Linked DNA regions of Oryctolagus cuniculus. The protein of the gene in region 3 purifies or fractionates together with the protein of the main gene of each other region. This does not show direct contact. Links are inferred from orthologs where the notes say so. Each region holds a gene or a part of one and is shown on either strand. Other genes may lie near its edges.

Region 1 (4,061 bases), on a different chromosome or scaffold from region 3:
AAAGCAACAGAAGTGCTTGGGCCCCTGCACCCACATCAGGGACATAGATGGAGTTCCTGGTACCCAGCCTTGCAGCCATTTAAGTAAACCACAGGGTGGAAAAATCTCTCTCTGTCCCTCCCTCTCTCTGTGTTTACTCTTTTAATAATAAATAAGTAAATCTTAGAAAAAAAAAAAAAGAAATAGGGGCCAGCGCTGTGGCATAGTGGGTTAGGCCTCCACCTGCAGCACCAGCATAGCATGCGGGCACCAGTTCAAGTCCCAGCTGCTCCACTTCTGTCCGATCTAGCTTCCTGCTAATCGCCTGGGAAAGCAGCAGAGGATGGCCCAATTGATTGCACCCCTGCGCCCATATAGGAGACCCAGTCCCGGCTTCAAATCAGCCCAGCTGTGGCCACTGCAACCCTCTAGGGAGTGAACTAGTGGATGGAAGATCCATCTCTCTGCCTCTCAAATAAATATTTTAAAAAAATAAAAATTGCTTTAAAAAGAAATAAATAAAAAATGAAAATGCAATCCCCCGGGCTCTTACTACAACGACTCAAACAGCTGGGAGTGTGTGGACCTGGGAGGGGCAGGGCCAGTTCGAGCCCCCAGAGAGAAGCTGAGCCCTGGGAGGAGCCAGCCAGAAGACAGCGCTGGAAACAGTTCACACTGAGGAAAGCCTCTAAAGAGGGTGTAAAGAACATTTAGGTCTGATGGGGTGGCAACACAGCAGTCCCCTCATCCCCAGCCCACTCCAGGTATGTGTGGGAGGCCAGCTGGGAGGGGCGGGGTCCCCGAGCAGCCTCTGCACACACCGCCCTCCCCTGGCCTGCACCAAGCAGCAGGTGGGCTGTCAGTATCCATGCATCATCTCCCCAGTGCCCAAAACCACCGCAGGCCTGTCCGAGAAGGATGGTGCTGACCTCAACTGCTAGCGGCCCCAGCACCCCAGTGAGGCGCCGGCCACGACTGTCCGGATGAGGTAAGAGCCAGTATCCTCCCTTTACTGAAGATAAGGAAAGAAGAGCAACTTGTCCCCAAGACCGGGAGGCGTTAAGTTAGAAGCAGCAGTGGCAAGGCCTTGAGAGCGGAAACTGCCTCACGCGCCCCACACACAGGACCGGCGTGCGAACAGAAAACTCCCCTGGCCTGCGCGCAGCTCCTCGGTCCGCCAGGCTTTCAGGGCTGCACACACGGGGGTCCCACTCGCGGACACAGCAAGGGCCTGCCACCCCCCTGCCTGTCCTGTCCTCCTGCGGCTCCTCTCCCTGGCGTGTTTCACGGGAGCCAGGTGCGCTAGAAGCCCGCGGTGCAGCTGGAGGCCGGCGTCCCCCAAGCTGCTTCCACACTGAGCGGTGTCAACAGCACCAGGGTTTCAGGGCCAGCCTGGCTACTCGGCAGGCCCGAAGGCAGGCATTCGGCGGCTGTGGCTTCAGGACTGGCAGCAGCCGAGGGGAAGCGAGGAGAAAACATCTCCTCCAGCGGCACCAAGCTGCGTTCACGCCACTCGACAAAAAGCAGGAAACCCGCTTCCTCGTGGAAAAAGAGAGGAAGGGAGAGGAGACAGGAGCCCCCCACGGAGCCCACCCCATGTCAACACCTGTGCCGCTGTCACTCCGGGACGCCCCAGCCTTCACCCGGCCAAGTGTGGCCAAGTCCCACGGAGCTAAGAGCCGAAGCCGCCCCTGAGCTAACACAAGGCTTCTCCGTGCTCCTCTGCCGGTGTGGCTCTTGCAACAGAATGTGGGGCAGAAGCAGAGAAGAGCCCGAGATGGAGGAGGGGCGGCCGGCACACCTCACCCCCAGCCTCCTCGGGGTCCCGGCCTCAAAGTGGCACCCCAGGAGCACGCGTTGCAGCCGGGGAAGGCCAGGCAAGGGGCAGGAGCATGCAGACACACACTCATCCTGACCCCAAGCCGGGCTCCCCAGGGCTATGACAAGGGGAAGACGGGCAGGGCTGGCTCTGGGGACTCAGTGGGAGCTGCTGCTGCAGAAAGCAATGGGAGAAACAGAAACTACAGTCCCCACCAGGCCACGGCCCCAGACCCCCGTCAGGGCCCACTGCAGAGCCCCTGGCCGGGTGCACGCCAGCCAGCAGCCGGTGGCCCGCGGGGGATCAGGCAGGGCAGCCCGGAGCCCTCCTGCCCGTCCAGGTCCCCGCCCCCCTCTGCAGAGACGGGGAAACCGCGGCATGAGACCCCACCACCGCGGCGCCTTCCCAGGCCAGGTTGAAGTTCACTTCCCCAACCGCACTTTTTCCACAGCTCCATCACACGGCAGGTTTCTGCAGACCACCACCGACTGCCGCTGCAAAGTGGATTCAGGCGAAGCCCAAGGGCTGAACTCGGACCCAGAGGGGGCGGCGCGGGGGCACAGCGGGGCTTCCTCGCCCGCAGCCCTGCCCCGGGGCGTCGCTGCCTCCCGGCCCCCGACGCTTCCACCGCAACCCGAGGTGGGGGCACGGCGGTGCGGCCCCGGGTCCCCGGTCTCACAGGTCCCAGGGTGGGGGTGGCTTCGGCCGCGCGCCCGGCCCGGCCGGGAACTTCCGGCGGGGCCCCGCGCCCTGGCCCGCGCCCCGGCGCCGGCGTGCGCGCGGCTCGGGTCCCCTTAGTGGCCCGGCGCGGCGGCACTCACCATATTACAGATGGAGGCGATGTTGCGGACAGTCATGGGTCTAAAGGTGGCGGCGAGCGCGCACCGCCATCTTTACCAGGGGAGAACGGCACGGGCCATGGCGGGCGCGCGCGGCGAGGCCGGGCCCGGCGGCCTGGGTCCGGCTTCCAGCTCGGCCGGGAGAGGAGGCCGGGAGGGCGGGGGCCGGGAGGCGGCGGCGGGGGCGGGGCGCGCGCGGGAGGAGGGGCGGCCCGAGCGCGTGGGTCCGCGCCGCCGCCGCGCGCCCCGCCCGCCGCCGCCTCCCCCGCCTCGCGCGGGGGGCCCCCGGCGCGCTCGCTGCGGGCCGGAGCGCGCGGCCAGGCCTCGCGGAGCGCGGGCCCCGCCTGTGTGCCCGGGCAGCGCGCGGCGCTGGGGACGCCCTAGGCCGCCTGCTGGTCGCGGGTCTCCCTCCCGCCCCCGCAGCCCCGGGGTTCCGAGCTGGGGCCGGGCCGGGGGTGGGGTCAAAGTGACCACGTCCAACTTTTCCTTTCTCCTGTCGCACGACACCGGCGGGGACCCAGGGTGGAAAATGGGGTCAGGACAGGACAGTGGTCAGAAAGCCGTGGCCAGCACGGCCGGGCCTTGCGCCCGGGAAGGGCGGGCAGGGCCAGGATGCGTGCGCTCAGGTGGTGCAGGTACCAAGGAGGAGTCCGGTGCCGGGCAGGGGGCAGGGGGCAGGGACCGTGCAGGGGTGGAAGCAGCCAGAACAGGACTTTGCCAGTTCCTCAAGGAAGACGCACCCCTGCCAGGGAGACCCAGCGCTTAGGTTTCGAGGTGGGCGCTGTCGGCGCACCCGGTCCACCTCTGGGGTCGTAACTTGTGGCTCTCAGCGCACAGCTTGGCAGGTGTGGTCTCCAGACGTGAGCAACTTCTACACACAGGGCTACCATCCCGTGAGTGGAGCGCGTGACAGATTCCGAAAGCAATGTATGCAAATGGAAAATGGAATTAGAAGAGAAATTAGTATAATGGAGGACAACTTTTATCCAACCAAGGATGAGCTCATCGGAAGACGTGGGGTTATGCGGGTGAGGTTCCGAGCCACTGAGGCTAACATCCCTAGGACCCAGTAGGGATTGAAGGTTGGGGGCGGGGGGGGGGCAAGTCATCACCCTATTTTTCAAGGGATTTAAGGATTAGTATCTCCACTTATGTTAAATCGCTCTACCTGAATCTTATTTACAAATAGATCCGGATGAGCCCACTTTGCTGATTCCCCATCGTCAGTCCTCAGCACCTTTTTCTGTGACCTTCCGTCACCTGCTGGGTGCGATCCCCCCCTCCTGTTGCAGCTCAGTAACATGGGACAGGGTGGGGAGCCATTTGGAAATTTATAACATCATTTGCAGACCATACCAGGTTATCTCTTAAAAATTAGCCTGCCGCAGATTCGAAACAGCCAGAGTGAAGCCCAGGCAGTGAAT
Region 2 (4,166 bases), on a different chromosome or scaffold from region 3:
CTCCTGATAAAACAGCATAAATAAATTATAGTCCTTCTCCTGAAAGCCCTCCCAACCTAACAAGAGATGAGGAAACTCTACAAGACAGTATGGTAAATGCTACTGAGATTACAAAAACTCTGTGAATTTCTATGATGAGGAATGGGGAGGGGTGGTTTTGGACAGGGGCAGGGTTATTCAAGGAAGGCTACCTGTGTAACAGAGACAGGTACACACTTGCCACACAAGGACACGGTAGGGTGTTCCCAGTCTGGCAAAAACAGCATAGAGATAAGTAACTTCGCTGTTCTGGATTTTCAGTTTTGTAATTCTCACAAGATGCTTGACAGCTGCATTTAAAGAATAACTTATAACCTACTTCCAGAAATTCAGTACTATTTGGGAGGCCATTAGAATTTATTCAAATATGAATAAAGACACACCCAATTTTAATAGCACCTTTGGAACAGCCTCACTTGGCCAGGCATGGACATTTTGCCAACAATAAGTGCACCAATCTGCAATTAATGTACTGGGTGGAAACCCTAGAAAGAGCCTCACAGTCTGACATTCTTCAGATCAGAATGCCACTGACATAATGTATGACCTTGCAAAGCTCTGTGCCTCGTTTTCCTGATGTGACTTCAGCAAATACACACACACACACACACACACACAGAGACAGAGAGACTTGAATAGTGTCTGCCTCCCTCGACTAGAAGGTAAACACCATGAAAGCAGAAACTATGGGATCCCCAGCACTCAGCACAGTTTTTAGCACATGAATGAACAGTAAAGAGGATCACCCAATCCTGAAACCCTAGCCTTTGACAATGAACTATGACCCCACGAGGTGCACACTCAGCCATTTGGCAAAATTATCACTGTCAAAGACTTAATTATCACATTCACTTTGAAATCGACAGATAATAACTGGCGTGTCTACAAATAACGAGCTCACACCAACCTTGGAAATCATTTTAATAGAGTCCCTTCACCAATGCGTTCCTCAAATGTAAATCGTGAGAAAGAACAAACACCCGTTTGGGGAAAGGGATTCTTCAATGACTCATTCTTCCACATGACTTCTTCCTTGTCCAGGGTAGATTTTAAGCCCACCTGATTTCGGCCATATTTTGAAATTATTCCTCAACACCCAGGAGAGAAACTGCCTCTTACAAGCATCTCTGCGACCTAACTGCTCAAAGTAGGGAGACATTAGGTGCAAGGCTGCCCCGGGATCTCTTAGGAATTGCGACGCGTGAAAAAGAGCTCGTGAGACCAGGAACAAAAGACTTCACAAGTCTTCAGTACCATAACCACCAGGCTCACGTAGGAAAGAATAACTTTTTTGGGCGATGACTCATAAATTACGATCCCGACATATAAGCTCTTAAGGAGCTAATGAAAGGAAGTTGCCCCATCATGTGGAAAAATGTGGTCCTTCGGGCCAGGCACAGAAACACCAAGTTCTACATGCACTCAGAAAGCTTAACTGGAGACTCCGAAGGCGCATCCGCACTTCTCCCTTGAAGTCTGTTCAAAAGGCCCTAATGAAACAAATACCACCGCCCTTGCAGTCAGCCCCGCAACGGGACGCTGGCCGCTGCACACAGATGCGCCTGGGGGATTAAAGTGAGCAAATGAGAGGAAAGCTGCTTTTCCGAGATTAAAGTGGATGCCGGGGCCAAGCCTGACACCTGGACACACGCTGGAAACGGGGTTCCTCTGGGCGAGCAGAAAACGCAGAGAACGGCCACGCCACTTACTTAAAGTTTCCACCTACACTCACACTCACGGCGCCCCTGGCACGGGGTCGCACTTCTGCCTGGCCACAGCCACCAGAAGCAAACCTACACTTGACTTCCGTCCTCGCCTGGGCAGCAGCGAGCCTGCCCAGCCCGGCCGGCCGAGACCCTTCCTTCCTGCCCGCAGACCCCCGCCCCCGCCGCCGACGCCCGGCCACACGGAAACGGAGACGGCGCGGCCCCGCGGCCCTGCCCCTGCGACCCCCAGCCCGCCGCCGCGCTCCCACAGGCCGGCTGCGCCCAGCAGAGACCGGAGCAGGGCGGCCCGGGCTCGCCAAGGCCGGTGGCCGCCCCCAGCCCCCTGGCCACGTCCAGCACGGCGATCGCCCCTCGCAGCCCGGCCCGCGGGGCGCCTCCTCGGCCGCGGGGGCCGCTAATCGCCCGCGCTCCCCGCCCGCGCGCCGTCCAACCGCCCCCGCCCGGGCCGCCCGCCCCCGCGCCAGGCCCCCGCCAGCGGAGCTGAGGGACGGCGAGCAGGGCCGTCCGCCCGTCCGAGGAGTCCCGGGCCGCCCGCGCCGCACCTACCATGGTACAGATGGAGGCGAATTTGGAGACTGTCATTAGGATTTCCATCCGCCCAGCGCCATCTTCTACCCAATCACAGCGGCGGCGGCAGCAGCGGCGGCGGCGGCGGGCGGGGGAGGAGGGAAGCCGGGCCGCCCGCTCGCACCGCAGCCCGCGGGCGGACCCCCGAGCCGCCGCAGACCCACGCACCGAGCCTGCTGGGCCGCCGCTGCCGTCGTCGCCGCCGGCGCTCAGGCACTCCCTGCCTCGGGCCCCAGCCCCCGCCTGCCGGCCGCCCGCCCGCCCCCGGCTCCGCCCCGGCGCAGGGCGCAGCCGCTGCCTCGGGGCCCGCGCCTGCCCGCGAAGCCTGCCGCCGCACACCCCGCCCAGTGCGCTGGGGAGCGGGCTCCGCCGAGGCCCTAATGCCCGGCAGCTGCGCGGCCCCGCGGCACCGCCCCGCTCGCGCTCGGACCGCCCCGCGCGCGGCCCCGGCGCCGGAGCGCGAGCCCGGGGACTCGGGCCCAGCCCCTCCCGGCGCGCGGCCGGGGGCGGAGCCCAGGGCGGGCGCGCCTCCTGCCCGCGTCCCGCGCGGTCCTAGAGCCTGAGGGCCGCAGAGCCCGGGCTGCGGGCGCTGAACCGGGTGGAGCCGCGGCGGCTGCCGCTGGGCGAATCCTGGAGCAGGATTCGGAAAATTGTGTGTGGAGAGAGAGAAAAGCTGCTCTTGTACAGTGAAGCTATCCCGGGGCTAGTCTCAAGCGCTAGGTTTGTTTCTTTGTTCAGAATTTGGGTGCAAACGCTGTAGCTTACAAAAAGGCTAGCTACTTAAAAGCGAGGCAATAAACACAGTATGTTTGAATTAAAAGGAAGGGTAAGTAGTGGGGGAGGGGAAGGGAGCGAGCCCTACCTGCCTGCCTGCTTGTCAACCTGTCGCTGTAAATTTAGAATGTTTCTAATGATCGGCAAATTGAGCTGCGAAGTGGAGAGGGTCTCAGCCCGACAGTGATGATGGTGTCACGGGAACAAGGAAAGTGAGCCCAGCAAAATGTCAGAGATTCATACTTAAGCAGGGTTAGTTAGTGGGATGATAGCTCCTTTTTTATGCTACTTTTCTAAAAATTCGTACATGCACCCTGCTCTTCGTGTCTGGCAGCTCAGTTTTGTTTTCTTTTATTTAAGAAAGGACTTCAGGTGGGTCGGGTAGCTTTGGATGTGATTGTTTGACAGCTGAACTAGTGACGGGGTGCTTTTCTGGGGTTCCAGCATTTCAGCAGGGCTAAAGGCCCGAATTCAGGCCGACCTCTAAAATTAGGTATAGATTCAAAGCCTTCGAACACCAAAACAAAGCGAGCTACGTTTGGATGAAGAATGGATTTCTGCTACGTGAATGCTGTTTCCATAGTGATTCTGTTATAAGCTTGCTTGGGAGTGAAGAAATGCCGAGTGGGTGCAGCCGCGTGCCAAGGTAGCCAGCCTCGTTCTCCCGTGCCTGCCTTCTGCGAGGCTAGGCACTCTCCCTCCTGCCCTTGATGCCGGGTTAGTGGCTAAGGCCGTGTTTTCACCTCTGTGCATTCATGTCAAGCCTAGGGAGGGAAGCCAAGAGGCAAGTCCTCTACCCCTCCCAGCATCTCCCAGCCCCTGGACGCCATGTAGGAGACAGCTGAATTCCCAATGAATGTCATGGTTCCTAACTGCAGAGCCTCGCAATGGCTTATCTGCTCAAACAAAAAGCACTGTGCTGACCAAATAGACGAGCTTCAGCCCCAGCTCATTTCCTTGCTTGGGTCCTGAAGCTATCTGGGTATATTCTGTAACTTACGTATTCAGAAGAACCCCCAAGAGTCAACTGTACACAAAGTCAACTTTTGCTAGGCACAA
Region 3 (4,207 bases):
TGGCAGTGCCTCCAACTCTGGCCCCACCGTCCAGGGTTTCACTTTGTCTTGACAGCACTAGGGAGCCCTGGGGGTCGGGGGTGAGCAGGGGAGGGCCCTGACCGCACTTCTGTTCTGCAGGGCTCCCTCTAGGGCCAGGCGTTGGGCACCGTGGCTGAGACCCCCGCTGCTTGGGGGCCCACGCCCCACATCACAGTGCCTGGGTTTGAGTCCTAACCTCTGCTCCCAATCCCAGTTTCCTGGAATGTGCGCCCTGGGAGGCAGCAGGTGATGGCTCCTATCTGAGACCCGGGTGGCTCCGGGCTTTGGCCTGGCCCAGCCCTGGCTGTTGCAGGCATTTGGAGAGTGAGCCAGTAAGTGGGATATATATATATATATATATATATATATATATATATATATATATGAAAGAAGCAAGGCCCTCCAGATACCACATGGCGGCAGAGGGAGTGAGACAGGAGGCTGGAGATCAGACAAGGCTGGTGCGGGAGGCTCAGGGCTGTGAAGAGGAGAGGAAGGCCTGGGTGTGGAGGTGACGAGACACCAGCTCCCGGGCCCCATGACTGAGCGCGTGGCAGCACAGCGCCATGGTGAGGCCTAAGGACTGGCAGGAAGGGGGCAAGGTCGTAGGACTCGTTGAGTGGGAGATGCCCCCTGGGAAGTCCCTGTGAGGAATCCAGAAGCCACCGAGTCCGTGGGACTAGCAGGCTCTGCGTTGGGGGCAGGGTCGGCTTCCCCAGGAGAGGGGCGTGGCTCTCACTGCGGGCAGGTGGGTCACCGGGGACATTGGCGGTATTGTGGGACCGAAGACATTCTGGGGTCATAGCTGGGTTTAGGAAGATGAGGTGACTGAAGGCGGTGGAGTTACGGAGGTACGTAACGGAGGGGGTACACTATACGGAGGATGTTTGGGGTTACTGTTAATCAGTAGCGGGTCAGATGAAATTCTTGGAGTTTCTGGGGCCAGCAGGGATGGGGGGAGGGAACCCATGGTGCGGGGGTGGGTAGGGGAGTAATGGTTGAAGATGCTATCAGGGTCTTCAGGAAGACAGTGGAAAACACGAGGTCCGGACGGTGCGGAGACTCTAAAGGAGACGCACTGGGGTCAGCTGTGACGTCATAGAGAGGCCGGGTCAGGGAGGATGCCTTCCTTTGCTGGTCCCTGCGTTGCTAGGCAAACGGTTCCTAGGGCGCTGTTGCTAGGGACCGGAGCGCTCAACTGACCACGCCCCCTTCCACTGCGGGCCACGCCCCACAGCCAACCAGGAGCCGCTCACAGGCGCGGAGGCCACGCCCACCGCCCCGCCCCGCCCACAGCCCCCGGACCGTTACCCGAGCGACGGTCGCGGTTCGTCCCGCCCTCGGATCCGGGTGCCAATCGAAGAGGCGTCGCCGGGGCGACGACCCCACCTCTTCCGGCGCGGTCCCGCGGCTTCCGGCAGGGGGCCCGGCGGCGGGCGACTGTCCGGCAGCTGCGGGGCCCGGGGGGCGCCCAAGATGGCGGCGGGCGGCGCGGAGGGCGGCTCGGGCCCCGGCGCCGCCATGGGGGACTGCGCGGAGATTAAGTCGCAGTTCCGCACCCGCGAGGGCTTCTACAAGCTGCTCCCCGGGGACGGCGCCGCTCGCAGGTCCGGTCCGGCTTCCGCCCAGACCCCGACGCCGCCCCAGCCGCCGCAACTCCCGCCCGGCCCTGCCGCCGCCTCCGGCCCCGGCGCCGCGGGCCCCGCGTCGTCCCCGCCGCCCCCCGGCCCTGGGCCCGGGCCCGCGCTGCCCGCCGTGCGCCTCAGCCTCGTTCGCCTCGGGGAGCCCGACGGCGCCGGGGCCGGGGAGCCGCCGGCCACGCCCGCGGGGCTGGGCGCGGGGGGCGACCGCGTCTGCTTCAACCTGGGCCGCGAGCTGTATTTCTACCCGGGCTGCTGCCGCCGCGGGAGTCAGCGGGTGAGGCCTGGGTGCTGAGGAGTGAGGGAGGGCCCGCCGTGGGCAGCCCAGGTGTGGCGGCCATCCCGGGCAGACGGGCCGCTGGCAGGTCATGCGGCTTTGGGAGGCGTGACAGGAGGTCCTCGCGATGCTGCGTGGGCGTTGAGGGTCGAGCGGGGGCATCAGAGATGAGGTGGGGTCCCCGGGCCCTAGGGGGCCGGCGCTCTGCCGGTGCTTGGGAATCCCGAGGTGCCGCAGGCTCAGGGGCGTCTGCAGGTGTGGTGGGGGGTGGTCCTTGAGACTCGGGGAGCCCAGGGCTGTAACAGGCCTTTTGAGGGTGACCCGGTCAGCAGCTGGGGGATCCGAGGCCATGAGAGGCCCTGGTGGGGAGAGCCCCAGGTGTCGGCATCGCTACAGGACCGGGGTGGGGGAGTTGAGGGGCCTCTGCAGTTTATGGGGGTCCCCAGGAATGAGGGGATCTGGAGAGCCCAGAGCTATGAGGGTAGCAGAAATGTGGGGGTACCATGAGGCCGGCTGGGTCCCTGAACGGGGGGGTAGGGTCGTGAGGTTTGGGGGCTCCAGATGGGAGGGAACCCTGGGACGCCGGGCTTTAGCGTTCCAGGGGATTGTGGGGCCCCGAGGTTTTGGGGTCTCAGAATGTTGTGCCAAGTCCCAAGGGAGCTGCTGAAGCTCCAGGTTGGGGCAGGGCTGGGAAGAATCGAGCTCAGGGCCCAGGGGACCCCGAACCCTGCAGGCAGGGTGGCCCCGGCTTCGGCACGGCTGGGTCGGGGCTGTCGGGCAGGGTTCCCGGGGCGGGGGCTGTAGGGCAGTGTGTCCCTGGATTCGGCACGGCGGGGCAGGGGCTGTCGGGCAGGGTGTCCCGGGGTGGGGGCTGTCGGGCAGGGTGACCCCGGATTCGGCATGGCGGGGCAGGGGTTGGTGGGCAGGGTGACCCCAGATTCGGCACAGTGGGGCAGGGGCTGTCGGGCAGGGTGTCCTGGGGCGGGGGCTGTAGGGCAGTGTGACCCCGGATTCAGCATGGTGGAGCAGGGGTTGGCGGGCAGGGTGTCCCGGGGTGGGGGCTGTCAGGCAGGGTGACCCCTGATTTGGCACGGCGGGGCAGGGGCTGTCGGGCAGGGTGTCCCAGGGCGGGGGATGTCGGCCAGGGTGACCCCGGATTCGGCACGGCGGGGCAGGGGCTGTCGGGCAGGGTGACCCGGATTCGGCACGGCGGGGCAGGGGTTGGTGGGCAGGGCGTCCCGGGGTGGGGGCTGTCGGGCAGGGTGACCCCGGATTTGGCACGGCGGGGCCAGGGTAGTCCAGCCTCTGGAGGCGCCGTGGGGAGGGGTGGAGACCCTCATAGTCATTTTCCCCTCTACTGTGTGTGATCCAGGCTGCCTTCCTGTCTGTGGCCGCCCCCTCCCCGCGCCGGCTGCCCACTTCCCTCAGGGATTTAACCCTGCTTCCTCTCGGTGGTTCCCCCAACCTCAACACCCTCTTCCTTCCTCCCCTGCAAACCATCAACTCCTCCCTCCTCCTCCCTCCTCCCCCCAGTCCATCGACCTCAAGAAGCCCATCGACAAGCGGATCTACAAGGGCACGCAGCCCACCTGCCACGACTTCAACCAGTTCACCGCCGCCACGGAGACCATCTCCCTGCTGGTGGGCTTCTCAGCCGGCCAGGTGCAGTACCTGGACCTCATTAAGAAGGACACCAGCAAGCTCTTCAATGAGGAGGTGAGTGCCGCGCCCGGGCCGCGGCGGCCATGAGCGGAGGGGGAGGGGCAGGGAGACAGGTGACGGTCGGAACAGCGCGGTCCCGTGCCCAGCACCACACGGCTGAGTTGTCATGGAGAGGTGGGTGCGGATCGGGGCGCCCACTTCACAGGCGGGAAGACTGAGGCTGGTGGTTAGCTGGGAGTCGCTCGCTGCCCCTGCTCCACCAGTAGCTCACCCGTGACCTTGGGAAGGCGCCCGGTCCCTGAGCCTTGGTTCTCCTCCTCCGCAGAAAGGGATCCGCGTCCACGCCTCCTAGGGCCACTGGAAATGAGCGCAGGCAGCTGTGTCCGGGTGGCTGGGCGCAGGCGCCACAGAAGCCCTTGTCTGCGGCGGGGACGCCGTGTCCCACGGCCTGTGTCTGCCTGGCAGGAGGGAGCCGGTGGGACGCTGAATGGGCGAGAAATCGATTAGCTCCTTGCAGTGAGTGCTGCCCGTGCCAGGTTCCGGCCGCCGGAGGCGGGGGCGGGCCCTGAGCGGAGCTGGCCATGTGCCAGCAGGTGGCCACACTGCA

Evidence for each region. Proteins that work in one complex are often made in the same cells at the same time.
Region 1: the proteins of DMWD (region 3) and USP46 purify together in Homo sapiens (affinity purification with mass spectrometry; 5 studies listed by BioGRID and IntAct, counting the BioPlex papers as one, with this or other methods). This does not show direct contact. The link is inferred for Oryctolagus cuniculus from reciprocal best matches to the Homo sapiens genes DMWD and USP46.
Region 2: the proteins of DMWD (region 3) and USP12 purify together in Homo sapiens (affinity purification with mass spectrometry; 3 studies listed by BioGRID and IntAct, with this or other methods). This does not show direct contact. The link is inferred for Oryctolagus cuniculus from reciprocal best matches to the Homo sapiens genes DMWD and USP12.

Annotation. Positions count from the first base shown.
Region 1 is NC_091439.1:110,974,142-110,978,202, reverse strand, and holds the start of USP46 (ubiquitin carboxyl-terminal hydrolase 46), read right to left. Parts: upstream 2,807-4,061; 5' UTR 2,656-2,806; coding exon 2,620-2,655; intron 1-2,619. UniProt on the Homo sapiens protein: Deubiquitinating enzyme that plays a role in behavior, possibly by regulating GABA action. May act by mediating the deubiquitination of GAD1/GAD67.
Region 2 is NC_091440.1:87,334,990-87,339,155, reverse strand, and holds the start of USP12 (ubiquitin carboxyl-terminal hydrolase 12), read right to left. Parts: upstream 2,807-4,166; 5' UTR 2,361-2,806; coding exon 2,313-2,360; exon of another isoform or gene 1-2,312. UniProt on the Homo sapiens protein: Deubiquitinating enzyme that plays various roles in the regulation of the immune response and inflammation.
Region 3 is NC_091449.1:11,217,776-11,221,982, forward strand, and holds the start of DMWD (dystrophia myotonica WD repeat-containing protein), read left to right. Parts: upstream 1-1,400; 5' UTR 1,401-1,497; coding exon 1,498-1,938; intron 1,939-3,471; coding exon 3,472-3,654; intron 3,655-4,207. UniProt on the Homo sapiens protein: Regulator of the deubiquitinating USP12/DMWD/WDR48 complex. Functions as a cofactor that promotes USP12 enzymatic activity.